4 linked regions of the Coturnix japonica genome follow. The protein of the gene in region 3 interacts with the protein of the main gene of each other region in a pairwise test. Links are inferred from orthologs where the notes say so. Each region holds a gene or a part of one and is shown on either strand. Other genes may lie near its edges.

Region 1 (4,595 bases), on a different chromosome or scaffold from region 3:
TTTCAGATTCAGCAGCGTGCAGCCCTTCGGCCCCACAGCTCTGTTTGCTGCCTGTGGCCTAAAGACAAGGGAAGCACAGCCTGGATGCCGGGGTTTGAGACCATCCCCTCGTCTGTGAGAGGATCAGTTATGGGGGTCCCAACCCCCAGCAGAGCCGTGATGAACCTCTGCATCAATAGACTCAAACTGCACCAAATTGGCTCAATCTCACCTCAGACAGCTTTAACCTGGCTGCCACTGGGGTTCACGTTGGTTTGATGGGCACAGCTATGGGTCTTGCCTAGGGAAATGCTCCAGGGTGCCCCCAAAACCAGTGTTGGGGACCCACAATCCTACTGGGATCTCCCCAGCTCTTCCCATCTCCCCCCATCCCAACTGTTTGCTCCTATCTCAGCAGGCAGCTCCCAAACCCGCTGCTATCCCCACTCAAATCCACATTACTGGACCCAATGGGTGCTGCCATGAACCCACCCCAACTCCTTCCAGCACAGCAGCGGGCACCCAGTGCCATTACCCCACAGTGACCCCAACTTAGAGCTATCAGGGGACACAGAGCCCCCATGTCTGCCCCCCAACACACAAAGGAAAGCTGCTTGGTGCCCAAAACCCCCCCTGTCCTCCCACCTACCGCTCCGTGTCCTGCTGTGTTTCTATTCCCAGAGCCTGGCACAGCCCCAGCCCCACTGCCCGGCCCCTTGGCAGCGCTGACCCCAGAGCTGTGCCAACACAGCACCGCATGGGGCAGCTTACAGAGGCTGGAACCCCACAGAACCAACCCCAGAACAGCTGGGCCACGAGCAAACCCTATAGATCACACATTATCCAGCCCTATGGCAGGGTTCAGTGACCCAGCAGCACTCCAGGAGTGTAACCTCCATGCTGGATCACCCCTATACCCTCCTCCTGTGCACCCCACAAACACCTACAGCCCATCGCTCCATTAGCTCCCTGCTTTCCCATTGACTCACCAGCTGGTCCCACTGACTCAGCCCTGCAGGCTGTGCTCATTTCCCTGCTCCTGTGGTTCCCATTGACTCACCAGCACTTCTCCCAAGCTCATCCTTTCCATTCCCATCCTGTCACCCTTAGGCATTTATCACATCCATGCCTTCCTTCTGCCCAGCACCATCAACAACACCGAGTGCATCCCCTCCATCACCCCCATGGGTGCGAAAGGTTGCAGGGAGAGTTTGGGGGAGCAAAGGGTTGCCTTCATCTCTCACTCTGAGCACCATCTGCTGTGTTATCTTTGCAGATATTGCATGTACTTTGCAGAAGGAGCATGCACTTGGCAGAAATAACATGCATGGTGCACAACTTGCATCTACGCAACGTCTCCAATGCATTCCCCCATGCATTTCTCCATCTCTGCTCTCCAACTCCAACGTGGAAACTTAAAGATGAGGTCAAACGACCATTCAAAGCATCTGGAAATGGGAAAGTTTGCATTTTCCCCTTTGCTTTTTCCCTTTAGGAGCCGTATAAAGCACGTCTCAACGTGCATCGTGCAGCGGCGCACCCAGAGAGTGGAAAATTCCTGCCCGGGTGCTGAGCGCGGATTGTGGTCCAACAGGTTTTGTTTGAGCTCCGGCCCCTCCGGTTGTGTCAGTGCATGAAAAAAAAACCTCATCCCTGGGGCATTAGTTGGGATCACATGGGTGAGCGTATAAAAATGATCCCTATTGGGACGGGGAAACTCGCTGCTGGAAGAGCCAGGGCACAACCGCCAGCGCCCGGACACACACAGGTAACCGCTGTCTGTCTGTCTGTCCATCCATCTATCTGCTCATTTATCCATCTGTCTGCCCTCCCATCCGTCTCTCTGTCTGTCCAGCTGTCTGTCTGCCCGTCCATCCAATTTAGCTCCAATAGAGTCTTGGCCAACTCAATGGGTTTTCACCTTTCTTTAGGGACGGAGCAGTAGGGTTGGAGATGGGTGGGTGGGCTGTGCTGGGTGGGTTTGGAGTCTCCCCACTGTCCTGCATCGCTGCTGTGGGGTTCTGTGATCCCAGGAGTTTGCTCCAATGCTTTGTAGCACCTCATCCTATGGTCTCCATTTTATGGTCTCCAACTCGTGGTCTTCATTTTATGGTATCTGTCTCGTGGTCTCCATAAGATGGTCTCCAATTTATGGTCTCCATCTTGTGGTCTCCATTTTATGGTCTCCATCTCGTGGTCTCTATTTTATGGTCTCCATCTTGTGGTCTCCATTTTATGGTCTCCATCTCGTGGTCTCTATTTTATGGTCTCCATCTTGTGGTCTCCATGTTATGACCTCCATTTCATGGTCTCCATCTTGTGGTATCCATCTCTTGGTCTCCATTTTATGGTCTCCATCTCCTGGTTTCCATTTTATAGCCTTTATCTCACAGTGTCCATCTTCTAGTTTCCATTTTATGATCTCCATCTCATGGTCTCCATGTTACGGCCTCCACCTTGTGGTATCCGTCTCAGGGTCTCCACTTTATGGCCTCCATTCTATGGTCTCCATCTCATTATCTCCATTTTATGGCCTTCACCTTTCTGTGTCCATCTCATAGTCTCCATACTACGACCTCCATCTCATGGTCTCCATTCTGTGACCTCCATCTCATGGTCTCTATTTTATGGCCTTCACCTTTCTGTGTCCATCTCATGGTCTCCATTCTATTACCTCCAACTCATAGTCTCCATTTTATGACCTCCATCTCATGGTCTCAATTTTATGACCTCCATCTCATGGTCTCAATTTTATGACCTCCATCTCATGGTCTCTATTTTATGCCCTTCACTTTTTGGTGTCCATCTCAGAGTCTCCATTTTATGGTCTCCATTCTATGGTCTCCATCTCATGATCTCTATTTTATGGCCTTCACCTTTCGGTGTCCATTTCATAGTCTCCATACTATGACCTCCATCTCATGATCTCTATTTTATGGCCTCCATCTCATGGTCTCCATTCTATGCCCTCCATCTCACGGTCTCCACTCTACGGTCTCCATCTCACAGTCTCCACCTCATGGTCTCCATCTCTACCAGAGGCTGTTGCTTAGGAACAGGCTCCTTCCTTTCTGATTTTCTCCTATCTGTTTTTAATGCAGAAACGTGCAGCCCCCCCCGTGCCCTTAGCCACGCTCTTGGGGGTGCATTTAGGATGTAACCAACGCGTGTTGGTGCAGCAGATTTGGGATGTGGGAGCCCTTCTTGTGGGGTTTCACCCCATTGCAAGCTGCATCAACATCCCCAAATACACCTCAAGAACAGACTCCCTGAGGCTGTTCCCTGGGTTGGGGGGGTTTGTTTGGTGATGTTATGGGTTTATTTTGCACTGTGTGAGGAGGAATGGGAAGCAGAGAAGCCACAGGACCCAAATAGAAGCTCTTAACAGCTTCTGCACGAGGCGTCAGCGGCTCTTAATGCTGGAGGGGATGGGGAGGGCTCTATAATAAACCTGTGCCTATAAATGGCCCCAAATGTGGGGCAGGGGGAGGCAGCAGGACGGGCACATCAACAACACCTCAAAGCTATGGGATGCATTATCCACACAGCAGCACTTTGACCAGTCAGACAACGCCCCACCGCTGTAGGGTGCAAATATCCTTCAGCAGGACCTTGCATGTTGCTTTGCTTTGCTTCCTGGTTGCAAAAGATGCACCCGGAGAGCACCGCCAGCTGCAGGCTGGGGCGAAGGGGGAGGTTTATGGGTTGCATAAGGCTTTCCCTGGAGGGCAGCGATCCCTTTGGGTTTAAATGCTTATAAACCACGTAGTAAAGGGCTGATATCCTGCAGCACAGCGATGGGATGAGCTCCAAGCCACAGGTTATTGGTGGGGCTGGGAGATGGGATCCAGATGGGCCATTTACAGTCTGGATATGGAGAATTGATTCCTGGGAACCCTCAGCTTAGAAGGACAGAGGATGCAATTTGCAGAAAGGCTCTTTTTGCTCATTTTAAACCCTAGAAACAAGGGGTTGGAAATCCTTGGGGCATTCCCTTTGGGCAAGCAGAGCCCTGTAGCCACAAGCTGCATGATTGGGGCTGATTCCAAACAGTGATTCCAATCTGGCAACGCAGCAGCGTTTCCTGCTCCCTGTGCCAAGAGCAAAGCTCAGCCTCACCCCCAGCTCTGCCCTCTTGCAATCCTCACTCACAGCTCGGGTGTTGGGATGTAGGGGCAGCAGGGGAGATGCTTTAGGTGAGAGACCCCCCTCCATCCCCACAGCACCCTTGTATCACCATGCCATGGCTTCAGGCTTTGTGCTGAGGGTGAATGGATTCCAGCGTGCTGGTGGTGAATGGATTCACTTACCCCTCCTCTCCTCCCATTGCAGGCACTGCTGAGAGCACGACATGGACCCCAAAGGGAAGGGCAGCCCCACGGTGACAATGACAGCCTTGGCACGCAGCCTGTAAGTACTGTGCCCCCCTTCCAACCCCCCCATTGCCTGCACAGCCATGCTTTGTTCTTTGCTCCCGTGCAACTCGTGCCACCCTGCTGCAGGAGGGCACAGCTCGGCTGGGTGCTGCCTGCAGCAAAGGGAAATGGTTGGGACCTTTTGCAATGCGGTGCAAATAAGGGTGCAGATCTCCAGCCCTACAGAGCACATAGGGTCAT
Region 2 (4,639 bases), on a different chromosome or scaffold from region 3:
CATGTCCTGCTGTGCTGGATGATGCTGGGTCCCAGTGCCAATGGAGCAGTGGGTACATGCCCGAGCCATCACCATTCAGTGGCACCATTCAATGGGGTGATGCTGTGAAGGGTGCAGCAAGGAGAAGTGGGAACAAGGAGACGATGCCCACTGAAGGGATGGGCTGGCTCTGGCCAGATGGGCTGCTCTAAGGGGCAAAGTGCCCTTGTGCTTGCTCATGCAGTGCTGTGCTCTTCATTTGCTGCAGGCACCACAGTCTGCTCAGAGACACTGGGGGGAAGAGAGCCCGGCCTGAGCTCTGCTTTGTTCTGCGCCTGCAATAGCCTCTCCCTCTTTGGAGAATGAAATATTAAAGAGGTTTTGGGAATGATCAAACCCTTCAGCTTCACTACTGTGATTAATCAATCACAGCTGTTGTTTTCCTGCTCTGTATTTTGAGGCATTTCGGATTGCTCTGTAATTAGCCCAGTTCAGGGCCAGTAAACACATTCCTCAGCCCTGGCAGTGCACTGGGATGGAGAAAAACTGAATTTTCCAGTGTTGTGCTTTGGTCTGAGCCAGGGCTGTCCGAACCTATCAGGGAGAGCTATGGGGAGCTCTGCCTCTTTGCTTGGCACCAAGAAGGGCAGTGCAGCACCACTCACATTCACTGCTATCATCTGCAAAGCAAGTTCTGCTTGGAGGAAGCTTTGTTGGAGGAATGGGTCAGGGGGGGTGGCAGAAAGGAAGAGATTTAAGGAATCTCCATTCCTTGAATGGCAGCTGTGTCACTGCAACCAGTGTCTGACCTGCACCTCTCAGCAGGTGGCAACTTGGAGGAGTTCGTGTCAGTTTTGGATGCTTAGATACATGGCTTAATAACCAAGGATGCTGACTTTTTAAGGCTTAAAGATGCTAAGGAGCATTTGCAGCTAAAGAGCCAGACAGGATCAGGAAGCATCACGGTCCTCTGGGTGATTTAAAGACCATCTCACGCTGAAGTGAATGTTCCAGACACCCAGCACAGCAGTGTGGCTCAGCCTGATTCTTGCACAACCCAAATCCATTGGTTTGGAAAACCTCTGCCCCACCTTTGTGAGTAGTTCCATCCTACTGTGCCAAGGGAATGTGCTTGTAGCTCCTTGAGGCATCCCATGCAGAAATGAGAATCGTGCTGCTGAGTGTCACTATAATGTCGTTGTTGTGTCTGAGGAGATCTGGTTTTAAACATAAATCAAAATAGTAACAGATTTCTGATATTTTGTGCGTGTGTTTCTTAAGTCTCCAAATTAATTGGCCTATGGAACACAAAAGGAATTATCACAGCATCAAAGAGAATATTTATGAGCTGCTGAGAAGGCAGAGGGATAAGCAGCTGTCTGAGGACTATCCTCAGCTCTCTGATCCTCTCCCAAACCAAACAGGTGGGGCTCAGTCAGACAAAGCTGCAGGAAGGGGCTGTGAGCATCCAGCACCCACCAGGCATCACCCACGGGCCCCAGCAGGGCCAAGGGCAGCTCCTGGCCCTTACTGCAGCTGCTTCAGCTGGGACTCACGTGCAGGCACAGGCGGTGCTGCCAAGTCTGCTGAACGGGGACAGAAACACTCGGTGGAACTCAGCCAGTCCTCAGCATCTTTTTAATGCTGGGAGCAGAAAGGAGGGCGGAGAGACGGCGTCTCGGAGGCCTTGTGTTGGCAGAAGAAAGATGCAGGAGATTGTGCCTGTGTTCTCCATGGTGCTCGGGTTGTTCAACCTGAGCTGTGAGCTGGGTGTGCCTGAAAGATGCTCCTCACAAAGGAATGAATGCCCACTTTGTTTTCCAGGTTACCTGGTTCAAAGAGCTCTGTTTAGTGTAAGCCTGGCTATGGATTACAGACTTCCAGACCTGTGTGCATGATGCTGCATTAGGTACTGTCCTCTCATTGCATGTGGTTTGAAGGGCTCTGCATCCCCTTTGTTTCTCCATCCCCCATTTGTTGCCACCGTTGCTGGCCTCGAGCATATGTTCTTTGGTTTCAGCATTGTGTCAGCCCTGCCTAAAGGAACCTGTGACAGCTCTTGGTCTGGGGATGAACCCATCCCCTTGATAACTGCTCTCCTCTGGTTACTGCTCCGGGAAGCTCCCGATGGTCTCAGGAGCTCGAGCTGGAGGGAGGCTGTCGGGGCCAGCGCAGCCTTGCAGAGCACCACGGAGCCAATCGCTGCTGCTAGGGGTGGAGCTGGAGCTCCAGCAGATGAAACCGAGTGCCTTTCCAGCACAGTTGGTCTGGGCGACTGAGAGATCTGTTCGTGGGGAGAGGAGAGCTGGGACTGCGGCTCCAACGCGCTCCCATCCCGGCAGCACCGCAGGAGCAGCCGTTCCCCTCTGCACATCGGCGACACGAAGGTACCGCCCCTCCTCTCTCTCGGCTCTTGTGCTGCTTGTTGCTTGATTGCTGCTTAGAGTTGGAGCAAAGTTTACGGGGGAATCAGCGCTGTGCAGTCACAGCGCCCGTCTGAACGCGGTGGGAGGGATGCACGGTGATGCTGGGATGCGGTACCAGGTGTACCGAGGTAGCTGGGGTAGTTTTGATGCTGCTTCTGAGCCATAACCTGCATGCGAGGCCCACCAGCACTGCTGTGCTTCCCTCAATGCTGTGCCAGGGGTCAGAAGTGGCCGGCGTGCATTGTGTGTGACCCAGAGCCTGTTGGGTGCCAGGTTGCTCTCCAGTGATGCTATGGAGCAAAACATCCACCTGTTTGCAGGTGACCGGAATTGAGTTGGTGCCTTGGTGGGGACTTTGTCCATCCTGCATTGGTTGGTCTGCAGAAATAAGGGCTGCTTTTACTGAGTGGGCTTTGCGCAGGCAAAAGCAAGCTCCTCGGACTGCAGACTTGATGCAGGAAAGCAGCATTTGTCTCTGCTGCTCTTAAAGTTTGGAGAACTTGCCAGGCCAGCACTGCTTTGAGTGCAAAAGCAGGTTTTGGGGAGGTAAATGAGCAGTGGGACGGCCGCCCCTGGCCTGTCCTGAGCCGGGCACTGCTGAAGAACCAGCAGGGAAAGCCGCAGCAAAATTGCAGCAATGGCTGGTGAGGGGGGCTTGGTTTTTGCTCTCCTGGGTTCAGCTGACCCCACGTGTTGCACTGGAGCTGTCTGCAGGTCTAAGCCTCAGGACAGCTGTCCTCATGCACCATGAGCGCTGCCATTTGAGCTGCCTACGAGTTCTCTTGTAATGACTCTTGGGACATCTGAATTGTTGGTGATCCCTATCCATGGACTGGTAGCACCTGACCAGGAATGTGCCCTAGTGCTGCCCTTCAGGCAGCCACATGCTCCTTTTCCATCCCCTGGTAGTACTGGAGTGACCTTAGTGTGCGTGACTGGGTGCAGAACAAGGTTTTGCAAAGCCTGGAGTAGGGCAGTTCAAAACCCACAGTTTGCATTTTCTGCAGATATTGTGCTGTTGGCTCTCACACGAGCACATGCTGTCTGACTGCAAAACACAAACGGGAGGCTCTGAGCCATGGGGTGCAGGGCAGGAGGGGTTCAGTGCAGGGGAAAGGAGCACTGAGTGGGGGTCTCCTTCTGCTATCCCTGCTACTGCAATAGACAGTTCCGTAAGAGGTATTTTGATAAAGGTTGCTAGACGGTGACTCATCTCCCATAGGAAGGGACAGGAAGGAGGAGAAGTGCAGGAGCATTGTAGGGTGAGATTGGAAAATGGGTCTCCCCACAGTGTTTGATCAGAAGCAATAAGAGTGGAAGCTCTGCCCCCCCAGAGGAGAAGACCCATCAGTCAGAAACCTCTTGATCTCGGTGCCCCTGCACCTGCTCCGCTGCCTTCTGCATCCCTCTCCCTGGGGTGGATGTTGCCCAAAACACGACTTGATTTCTTCTGATCAGTCTTAGTCACTTCTGAGTCACTCCGAGTAATTAATCCTTACTCCTGCATAACAGTTAGTGCTTCTATCTGTACCTGCCCAACCTGGGTGTTTTCAGAAGTCACTTCTCTTTGCTCCGTGCTGCTCTGCTGTAACTTTCCTCCCAATCCTCCCTCTGGTTTTCCTGCTCTCCCCTGCTCTTCCTGCTGTGCTGGAGCCATGAAGAGCCCAGAAGAGCTGGAGTGCTGCACCTCTGCTTTCTCAGGTGTGCTGCAGAGCACATCCATCCACCCAACAGGTTTTCTTAACAATTCAGTGTTGCTGCCTGACCACAAACCATTCTTGGAAAGGTTTGCTCTGTGTAGATGTTTTGTTGATGCCTGCCTGTTGATACCCATTTGCAGTGGGTTTACTGCGACTGCTGACCCCCGCTGATGTGACACTTCCATCTGGTTCATGCACAATTGGAAGCATTGGTGCCCAGACCATTATCATTGTGGGTTTACCTTCCAACTGCTTTGGTGCACAGAGAGGCCAGCACTTCCAGGTCTTGTCTGAGTGCTGTGCCGTATCTGGGTTATGCTCCCAAGGAGCACAGTGGGACATGAAACCCAGAACCACATTGAGACATCAGAAGTGGGCCAATTTCTAGGCCAAAACCTGGTCGCAGATGCTCCCAAGGGTGGATTTGGGTACAGAAATGGGTTGGTACAGATTTGGGTACATTTCAGGGGGCCAGTCTCCCTCCATTGCACAGTGCTGAGTGCAGAGGCAGTTGTCTTCCTGATGGCACCGCAT
Region 3 (4,909 bases):
ACACCTCATAGCTGCAAGTGGTCGACATTGGCAGAAAATGTGTGTGAGGCTGTTGTAACACAAAAGCCCTGGACTTTCAAGAAGCGAGCCCATTCCTCTTCACACAAACCGTTACTTTGCTGCAGGACTAACAGAAGATACAGAAGATCTGCAGGCGAGATAGCTGAGATGATCTGTTTAAGCAATAGGGTGGCTACTTCTTCCTATGCTAATCTGTCCTCCACCCATCTGTCTTGTTTCTGGCTTTGACCTACCTAGAATTAACATTATAAGTACTTAATGAACCCTTAAATTACTTATTTGTGTAAGCTCAAAGCCTTAACTTTTAGCAAAACTTCATTTTGTATGTTACGTATGGAAATAGAAACTTTGCACTAAAGAAGTTGTTTCCACCCTGTGCAGAGAACAGAGATCAGACATGAAGCAAGGAGCTCTGGGTGAATTTCCATACAGCAGATAACCCCAACAGATCATAAATCCGCATGAAAACAAGTCTCAGACTGTAATTTCAGCTTTTAATAATAAAGTTAGCACTAGCAATACTTGTGATAGGCTGCTGTAAGTGTAAAATAAAACTACATGACAAGAGAATTGAAGTATGAGTATTTTTATTCAGCATATTGAACCTAGACCACCAGCAACTAAGGGCAAGTCAGCACTTTTTAAGCTTTTACATTAAAATACTCATGAACAAGCAACTTGGATCCATAAAACCAGTATGAGAGGAAGCACAAAACCAGTAATAGAAGTTAATCTGGTCCAATCTGCTGCAATGGAAAAAGCACATAGGGATGGTTTTCAGCAGTTTTCTTTTTCTTTTTTGTGGTCAGTTCCTCATAAACAGTTCTTAGGAAAACAGCACTGAAGTTGTTGCGGAGTATTCTTGTAATGTTTTCAGATTGAAAACTGCATACGAACATGTCCTAATTTCAAAGAGGAAATGCTTAGGAGCAAAACAAACATTGAAATGATGTGGAAACAATGTGGAAGCTGTGTTCTTTGTATTAGCAAACGGCAATCTTTCCCTTCTCATCTCGTTTGATCTGCATCGACTATGCTGTAATTTTGAGAAGGACTCATTGGTATTGCATAGTGCCGCTGCAATCATTGTTTATTGTGTTGCTGTTATATAATATTTTCTCTAGGCGTATACTTAACTCTGATCAGATTAACATATAGTAATGTGTTTATAGTCCCGGTGGGAAGTGGTTGTAACAAACACAGAGACAAAATGAACGCAGTAGCTCTTACAGAAGGCAAAACTACCTCAGAGCTCTGTGGTGGCAGAGGGTGTGATGGGAGAGCTAAGCAGAGCTGCAGGAATAACGTGCACCAGGATGCCTTGCTATCTAGTCCTACAAGTCACCTAGAAGAGATTCTCTTCCTGACTACGTGGTGTTGCATCCACATGCAGGACACCAGTCATGCCAGCGATCTCTAGATCTAGCTTTCAAGCTCCATCCCCTACCTGCAGTCAGGCTCTGGTTCAGGGGCATTATTTTCCTGCTAACCAGCCTAACGTTCGTGGAGCTGTATTGCTGTATTGCTGTATTGCTGTATTGCTGTATTGCTGTATTGCTGTATTGCTGTATTGCTGTATTGCTGCCGGCCTACAGGCCCTGTTGTTTCCCGAGCACCCTTCCCTCCTGCTCCACCTGCCCTTTCCAAGCGGCCTATATTTAGCTCCGTACTCGTGTCAGCACCGCCTCGGGTGCCACCCTCATTTCTCAGTCACGCATCGTGACGGCAAAAAAACAACACAAAACATAAATACAACCGTCCTGCATCACTCCACTCCGCGTCCGCCGCCTGTGACAGCTCGCCGGACGGTCTCGCGAGAGTGGCGAGCTCCGCCCCGCCCCGCGGCCCTCCCGCCGCCCCCGCCCGCCGCCGCGGCCGGATCCGTCCCCTCGTCGCTGCGCCCTGGGCGGTGGGACGGGACGGGGAGGGGAGGAAGCGAGAGGAAGGGGAAGGGAAGAAGAGGAAGGAGGGGGGCGCTCGGCCCTGCGCACTGAGCGATGTTTGTCCGCCATCGCGGCGGAGGAGGCGGGTGAAGGAAGCGTCGCCGCCGGAGCGAGGGCCCCGCGCCTCCGCCTCGCTTTCCGCCGCTCCCTCCGCTCCCTCCAACCCCCCGCGGCCCGGCCCGGTCCCTCCGCGCAGCCTCGGGGCCCGCAGCCCGCAGCGAACATCTCCGGCGGCCTCCCCCGCCCGGCCCCGGCCCCGCCGCCCCCCGCGCGTCCTCCGCGCCCCTCCCCAGGGGGGCGCCGCCGCCGCCGGCCCCGAAGATGTCGAACCTGAGCAAGGGGACGGGCAGCCGGAAGGACACCAAGATGCGGATCCGAGCCTTCCCCGTGAGTACCGGCCCCGACGGGCCTAGGCCGCCCGCGCCAGGCCCCGGCCTCCGCAGGCCTCGCGGCCTCACGCCCTGTCAGCCGTATGGGGGGGGCCCGGCCGGGCCGGCCGCGGGCCTGCGGGGGGCGGGCGGCTGTCAGCGGGTCGGGAGGCGACGGGAACCGGGAGCGGCGCTGCGAGTCCGCCGCCACTAAATGGTGGGGAACGGGGCTCCGCCGCCGGACCTGAGGCACCGCGGGGCGGGCAGCCCACGAGCGGCAGCGGGGAGGGGGGCGGCCGGCGGTTCTTTGTTTTCAAGGAAAAGGCCTCGGGGAAGGAGTGGAAGGTTACGCGGCTTCGTCCACAACGCCGGTTACCTCCGGAAGGGGGGCGGTATTCATTTGCGTCTTCCGGAGAGTTTCCTCGTCGAGAATTTATTTGACTCTCTATGCTGTGAAAGAGACTCTAAGTCGTACGGTTATGAGACTTAGGTGGCACAGTGCCAGTTGTTGCTGTAAACATGGGGCACAGGTAACTTCCATGTGTGTTGTGTAGGGCCGTGGAAATGCCATCCCTTGGATTGCGGATGGGAACGAGCCCAGTTATTAATTTATTCTGCCATAAAGCTTGCAGTGTTTTGACAGTTGGTTCAATTAAAGCTTAGAACAGAATAACAACTGTGGGACTGTTAATGGCGGTGAGGAATGAGGGACAGAAGAAAGCTTCGGTCTGCCTGAGGTTTGCCAGGAAGTGTGTGTGTGTGTGTGTGTGTGCATTCACCGATGTGTGTTAAAAAGAAGATACTTAGTTGAGTCACTGGCATGTGGGGCTTAGCGTAACTTTTTGATGTTACGCCTGATCCTGGTAGGTAGTAGGATAGAACTAATGAGCCCTGCCTTTAGAGAGAAGCCGGGCGTACCTGTTTTATCTTATTTACTGACAAGGAGTATATCAGTACATTTGCTTCATGAAAAACCTCGCTGATAAAGTTGGGGGATTCTCTGTCTTTTCAGCAGCTTCTTTACTCACAGTAATGTGACCGACTGCTTTCTTCTTCCCTCTACTTCTAATGGCCAACAGTTGCATTTAGTGGTAAAAGTCAAAACAAAGAAGGGTGCTGTGAAACTTAAGGCCTTTAGCTGGGCAGAGACTTTTGGTCTCCATATTGTGTATATTTCTTTCAACAGTCTTTTATAAGATTGTCAGTTTTGTGAGGATATTTTGACTTGTAGGAATAAAGTCTTATTGCAACATTGTCAGGGCTTTACTAACAAAAAGTAGGAAAAGCTTTACCAAAATTAACCATGACATAAATGTGTAAAAAATAGCCATCTTTTGACTTGATGAACAGATTCAAGGCCAGGCTGGACGGGGCCCTGGGCAACCTGATCTAGTAAAGGTGTATGTTTGGTGGCCCTGCCAGGCAGGGGGTTGGAACTACATGATCCTTGAGGTCCCTTCCAACCCGGGTCATTATGTGATTCTGTGAACAGATTCATTTATCACAACTGAATATGTGGATCTGTATTAGCCAGCAACAGCAAACTCAACAAATGAGATCAACTTTCCAAGTGATTCTTTTTCGGTGCTGTTACACATAAGCAAGTGAAATCAGGTTGGTGGCTGAAGGATGCTCACACAGAGCTCTGCTCTTACAGAAGTGTAAGCATTGCCATCACTTTTTTTCTTCTAAAACCATTCTTGTTCACGTTGTTTTTCTTTTCAGTTTAAATTAAAAGTTTACATTAAAAATCTAAACAAAACCCATCAAAGCTCCCTGAATTATTGCCTTCCTAAAATGCCAGTGAGTGCATATAGGCATATAAGCATCTTAAACGTTTGGTGATTTCTATTGACAGCAATTTTCCAGGTGTTTCATTCAGTGGATTTTCTTCTCTGAGACATTTTGTTGGCAATCCCGTTGATCAGGTGTTTATAGAGAAGAAACGTGTAGTTGGTTAAGAGATGTGGAGGGCTTTGCCTTGCACAGTTGCAGAAGGTAATAACTATTGTTAGGGTCCAGGTTACAATCTTAACACAGATTTTGCAGAGCCCCAAGTGTTTGTGTAGCTTTAGTCCTGTGAATGGTGCCAGCGACTGCAGTGGGATTACTCATGTCAGTGAGGTTACATCTGTGTGCGGGATAGAGTCTATATTTAGAATGTGTACTATTCCTACTTCAGTTATGGATCTTCACTCTTTTATCTCACATTTGGTGCTTCTGCTCTTCACTTCTGAATTAGAAGTGCCTTCAGAGGTGACTTTGTAGGCTTCTTCTGTTTTTCTTTGGTGCGGGTAGGTCTCCTTGTTCTGCTTTAGTTGGCTTTTCGTGCAGAGGTCTCTGCTGACTGTTGTGTGAGAGCTGAAGGAGCCAGATTGGTTGGGTAAGGTTCCTGGAACGTAGCAATATTATGGCAACTGAATCCACGTCGGTTCTGTCCCTTTTCATGTTTTTATATTTTATTTTTAGACTTCTCTGTCATTGTTATATCTTGCAATAACTGAAGGAGGGATCAAATAATATTTTACGGAATAATACAGCACGTGTTTTTAATTAGCAGTTCAGTAGAATTTCACA
Region 4 (4,800 bases), on a different chromosome or scaffold from region 3:
TAACCACAATGCTGAATTTTCTCAGTAAATGCAGTGAGTTGAATTGCTGCTGTATAAACAAATAGATGTTTCATCATCAACACAGCATATTTCTTTTCAAAACTGCATGTATACCCCCCATATTTAAATGGGTTTTTTGTTTTTTTTTTTCCCCCTCTGATTTCTTTTCTAAGCAGAAGAGGCATTGGATCAAACAGAATCCCATAAAAATCCAAATGCTATTCAAATGCCTTTTTTCATGGCTAGACTTGTAAGCTGTTTTGCCAAAAACAGGCAATTTGGCTGCAATCATTTTTGTTACAGCTGTATATGATTCCTTTCAGGTTCACTGAACTAGTGAAAGACATAACTGTAGAATAAATAAATAAATAAGTAAGATTCGTGTTCTGTTTGTGTTTGCTTTTGATGTTCTGCATCAAAAGTAACTTGTGCTAACATCAGACATTTGGCATAAAAGCCAAAATAACACTGGAACAAAATGACAGAAGTCAGAGTTCTGAAAGGCTTAATGTTCACTTAGGAATGAACATTATTTAGTAGCTCTGGCATAATAACAAGCAGCAGAACCTGCAGCTATGTGCCTACAGGACCTATATGGAAGTAGTGTGCAAAGCGTTCCCTCATCAGCTTCCAGACAAGTTTACAATGACTTCATGATCAGCATCTTGGATCCCTCAACATAGAGCAGTCTACTACTAGTAAGATTCACTTGGGTTTCATGGATAGCTATGAGTTAGGGGGCTTGCCTTATGAAGTAATGCATGCGCAAGTTTACCATGGGATACAGAAACATGAATGTGTGATGTGACGGTGACCAGCACTGCCCAACCTCCCATGGGCAGAACTGATGGGCTCAGACCTCACCAGCACCATGGAACAGGAACACAGGGATACTTCTAATGCTTCAGCTGAGCACGCACTCCTACAGCTGGTCCCTTTGGAGCTGACTGCCATGTAAGAGGGTTTTGTTTGTTTCAACTCTTTAACAAGCAGCTCATCTCCTCCAACACAATCCAGTGCCAGATCCGCTCATCTATTGAGACAAATTCAAGAGATGCAAAGCCCACACTTCATAAAAACAGCACCAACAGTAGTGATGATTTCATTTAGAAAATCCCCCTATGGAAATACATTTAATTTTTTCTTTAAGCGTTCCCAAATCAAACATCAATGTAGAGAACTTGAGAAGGAAAACAAGATTGCGTTTTCCAAGAAAGGAACATTCCTAGAGATTGGCAAACATTAAATTATAAATTAAAACGCACTTAGTTTAACATTTTATTAGCCTTAATAAGAAATCAACCTAAGTAGCTACTAGAACTAAAACCACAGAACTGTAGGAGTTGGAAGGGGCCTCCAGAGATCACGTAGCTTGTTTAAAAGAAAACAAGCCGGCAGCAGCATCCCCAGACAGACACGCCGCCCTTCTTCACCCAGCACCGCTCCCGGGGTGAGGCGCTTACTGGGCCCGGCTACCGCCCTCGGAGGACCGCAGCTCTCCGCACAGAGCTTACCGAGGGCCAGGCCCAAGCAAGCTCAGCCCCAGCCTCCCCCGAGGGACAGCATCAGCTCCGACATCCACCCGACACACACTCCCTTCCCACCCCGCTGCTGCTGACAGGTACCGCGGCCGCCGCCAGGTGCACCGCGCCGATCCCGCCGCCTCCACCACGTCTGCGCGCCGCTGCCCGGCCCTCCGGCGGGCGGGGCCCCGGAAGTGGGCAGTGCCGGCGGCTCCCGGCGGGCCGGAGGGCAGCGGGGCTCTGCCGGGCGGGCGCAGCCGGCACCCGGCAGCGGCTGGCATGGTGTTGGCGGCAGCGCGCGGCGCCCGCGTTACCCGGAGGAAAGCCGAACGGAGCCGCCATGGAGATGTTGCTGCCGCCCGTGTGAGTGTGGCGGGCGAGCGGGCTGCGAGGCGCCGTGCCGCGGGTTAAGGGCGCGGGGTCGGGCCCGGGCGCCAGCGGGGGACGGGGGACCGGCGGCGGAGCTCAGCGGGCCCATTGGGCCACGCAATGAGGGCTGGGGGCTGCGGGCGGGCCTCGCGCTAGTTAGCTACGGGGGATTTAGGTTGGTTTTTTTTTCCCCTTTTTCTATTTTTTTTTTTTTTTTCCGTCTGATTTTTCCATATGCCCTCCCGTTCGCTCCCTGTTTGAGTCAGCGGCCGCGCAGCTGTGCGGGAGACGAGGAAGGGAGCGCGGTGCTTCGGGCCTCTCCCGGCCTGGCGGGGCTGCGCTGCTTCCCAGCCGCCCTCCGACAGAGCGTGGGGGAGAGCGGCTCCGGGCTCCTGGGCAGGTCTTGTGTTCAGCGCCGCTCCGTGCACACCTGTGTGTCACACACGTACAGCGTGTGAGTCCGGATGGGTCCGTCCGGCACCCGCTGTACTCCTGGGGATGGAAGGAGGTACGGCGTCCTCAGACTTGATAATTCGGCGGTTTAATTAGTGCAGGGCTCTGCCATCCCGTTAGTCGGCAGTGCTTTGAACTGGTGTGATCTGTGTCGTTTTTTGAATGCTCATCGCTGTATATGTTGCAGAATTCAATAGAATAGCAATCTAAAGGAGTATACCAGGTAGCATCTTTTTTCCCCTCTGCACAGAAGCTCATGTATGTGCTCTTTGGTTTGTGACCTGGCTCCTTTTGGCCACGAGCTGTATCATTCTCACGACTGAGCAAGAAACTTAGCATTGCAGTGCCATGGTACAGCGCAGTAAGTGGCGACTAGTTTCAGTTCCATGGAGGGATCTTACTTTGCTGTCCATTCTTAGTGGAGAATTCACATTCCTTTGCTGCCTGGTGTGGTTTTCTGCTGTTTTACTCCAAAATTTTGTAGCCAGTTTTTGAATAATGAGGAGTAAAGCCTGCCTGTTGGCTTTAGAGGTTGTTGTAAGGCACAGGGTATAGAGGTCCAAGTTAAAGTCTTAAATTTATTATCTGTGATGTTTACTTCTAAGGTTCCTTAGACATACTTGAATAGAAACTTTTAGGTAGGATGGAAGAGTGTCCAGATGTGGAATCACAGTGCAGGAGAGACACATGTGGACCTGTTGAAGTGCGGCCAGAGGAGGACCGTGAAAGTGATACCAGGGATGGAACACATCCCTTACAAGGACAGGCTGAGAAAGCTGGGGCTTTTCAGGCTGGAGAAGGGAAGGCTATGAGGTGAACTGAGAGCAGCCTGCCGGTATCTAAAGGGGAGGGCAATGAGAAGGAAGGGGGCAGACTCTTCAGCAGAATCTGATTTGGTAGGACTAGGGAAAATGGTTTCAAACTAAGAGAGGCTAGATTTTAAGTTGGATGTAAGGTGGTTTTTAATTTATTTATCTATGTATTTATTTTATGGTAAGTGTAGTGAAGTACTGGTACAGGTTGCCTGAAGGTGTGGTGGATGGAGCTCTGAGCAGCCTGATCTAACTGTAGGTATACCTGATCATTGCAGGAGAGTTGGACTAGATGACCTTTAAAGGTATCTTCCAAATCAAATGATTCCATGATAAGGGGGGTTGGAATTCTGGGTGTCAATGCATATGCTAAGTTTGGTTCTTGCTCAACTCAGCTAAGTCAGGTTTTTATCCGAAATGATAATGATGAAAGCAGACCCCTGATGCGCCAGGGTTGGTTGCCCCACCACTACTGACTGCAGTGGCCAAACGTGTTTTGCTTATGTCCAGTTTGGAATAAAGCTATGATAGTGTAAGTGGACTCATTATTGATGCTACGTGTTTTCTAAGTAGGCTAATAAGGTAATTTGCATTTTGATTGTAAACTCATTGTAAACTCATTGCCTGGGATTGAAAAATGTGCTTGCTATTTGGACAGTTTGATGTAATTGTTTTCCTATAGAACTTAGTATCTAGAATTTAACTATCTCTTAATATGAGTTAGTTGTAGGTAAAGCGAGTGATTTAGCTGCTAGGTTTTTCTTCTTGCAGTCTTGGTACTGTTTTTGGATGTAAGAAGAACTAAGAAGCTGGTCACTTTTGCTTTTTGGTACAACAAATGGGTAAGCAAAATCATTCTGCTAGGGAAAGCCTGAAGAATTAAAGCAGTCATCATGCAGCCTTCCTGTCAGAGAAGATGACCTGGAAGCTGTGTGAAACAGTAAGCAAGATTCTGGTGGCCATACAGAGCTTAGCTCTGTTTTTGCAAGTGGTCAAGGCTTTGAGAGATCAAACTGCTGGAATATGTTCTGCCTGTCAGTACTGGTGGTAGACTAGAAGTTACTGGAGTGCTGCTTCTATCCTCATTTCAGTATGTATTAGAAGTATTCTAGGGCATTTGTTTGTGTATTTTCCACATTGGAGCTTATTGTTAGCCCTGAAAGCTTCTGTAAACCTTACTAGTTACAATAAGCCTTACTAGCTTATTATTAGGTAGATAATCTTACCTGCTTCTCTTTTCATCATGTGCTGTTGGTAAAAGGGAAACCAAAATTGTCTGGAGTAAAGAATAAACTGAAATGCAAGTCCCATTCACACTCACCAATGATAAAGATGGCAAGAACAGAGTGATAGTCTGAGGGAGTAGGAATATTAACCTTTTAACTTTTTTTAAACTTCTTTTTAAATCTTCTTTTTTTTCTTTTTCCCCAGATGCACCAAACTTTGCCATCAGAAGCCTTTGGATTTGAAAGATGATAACACTGAAATTCACTGTCCTGTTACAGTGAATCCATGGCACATGAAGAAAGCTTTTAAAGTTATGAATGAGTTAAGAAGGTATTAATTCACTGTATACACCTGCCTAGAGTCTGTAAACCAGGTTTAGTTTCAATTACATTTATGAAGTTCTAAAAATGGAACAT

What was found.
Region 1: the proteins of CUL3 (region 3) and RHOBTB2 interact in a two-hybrid assay, tested with the Homo sapiens proteins (2 studies listed by BioGRID). The link is inferred for Coturnix japonica from reciprocal best matches to the Homo sapiens genes CUL3 and RHOBTB2.
Region 2: the proteins of CUL3 (region 3) and ZMAT4 interact in binary tests that used the Homo sapiens proteins (3 or more experiments, as listed by UniProt). The two-hybrid records come from large-scale screens. The link is inferred for Coturnix japonica from reciprocal best matches to the Homo sapiens genes CUL3 and ZMAT4.
Region 4: the proteins of CUL3 (region 3) and KLHL2 interact in binary tests that used the Homo sapiens proteins (3 or more experiments, as listed by UniProt). The two-hybrid records come from large-scale screens. The link is inferred for Coturnix japonica from reciprocal best matches to the Homo sapiens genes CUL3 and KLHL2.

What each region holds. Positions count from the first base shown.
Region 1 is NC_029537.1:2,428,949-2,433,543, reverse strand, and holds the start of RHOBTB2 (rho-related BTB domain-containing protein 2), read left to right. Parts: upstream 1-1,632; 5' UTR 1,633-1,747; intron 1,748-4,121; exon of another isoform or gene 4,122-4,175; intron 4,176-4,311; 5' UTR 4,312-4,330; coding exon 4,331-4,389; intron 4,390-4,595. UniProt on the Homo sapiens protein: Regulator of cell proliferation and apoptosis. It likely functions as a substrate-adapter that recruits key substrates, e.g. MSI2, to CUL3-based ubiquitin ligase complexes for degradation. Required for MSI2 ubiquitination and degradation.
Region 2 is NC_029537.1:3,915,505-3,920,143, reverse strand, and holds the start of ZMAT4 (zinc finger matrin-type protein 4), read left to right. Parts: upstream 1-1,661; 5' UTR 1,662-2,366; intron 2,367-4,639.
Region 3 is NC_029524.1:7,002,485-7,007,393, reverse strand, and holds the start of CUL3 (cullin-3), read left to right. Parts: upstream 1-1,875; 5' UTR 1,876-2,285; coding exon 2,286-2,351; intron 2,352-4,909. UniProt on the Homo sapiens protein: Core component of multiple cullin-RING-based BCR (BTB-CUL3-RBX1) E3 ubiquitin-protein ligase complexes which mediate the ubiquitination and subsequent proteasomal degradation of target proteins.
Region 4 is NC_029519.1:20,900,878-20,905,677, forward strand, and holds the start of KLHL2 (kelch-like protein 2), read left to right. Parts: upstream 1-1,719; 5' UTR 1,720-1,863; coding exon 1,864-1,886; intron 1,887-4,588; coding exon 4,589-4,714; intron 4,715-4,800. UniProt on the Homo sapiens protein: Substrate-specific adapter of a BCR (BTB-CUL3-RBX1) E3 ubiquitin ligase complex that mediates the ubiquitination of target proteins, such as NPTXR, WNK1, WNK3 and WNK4, leading most often to their proteasomal degradation.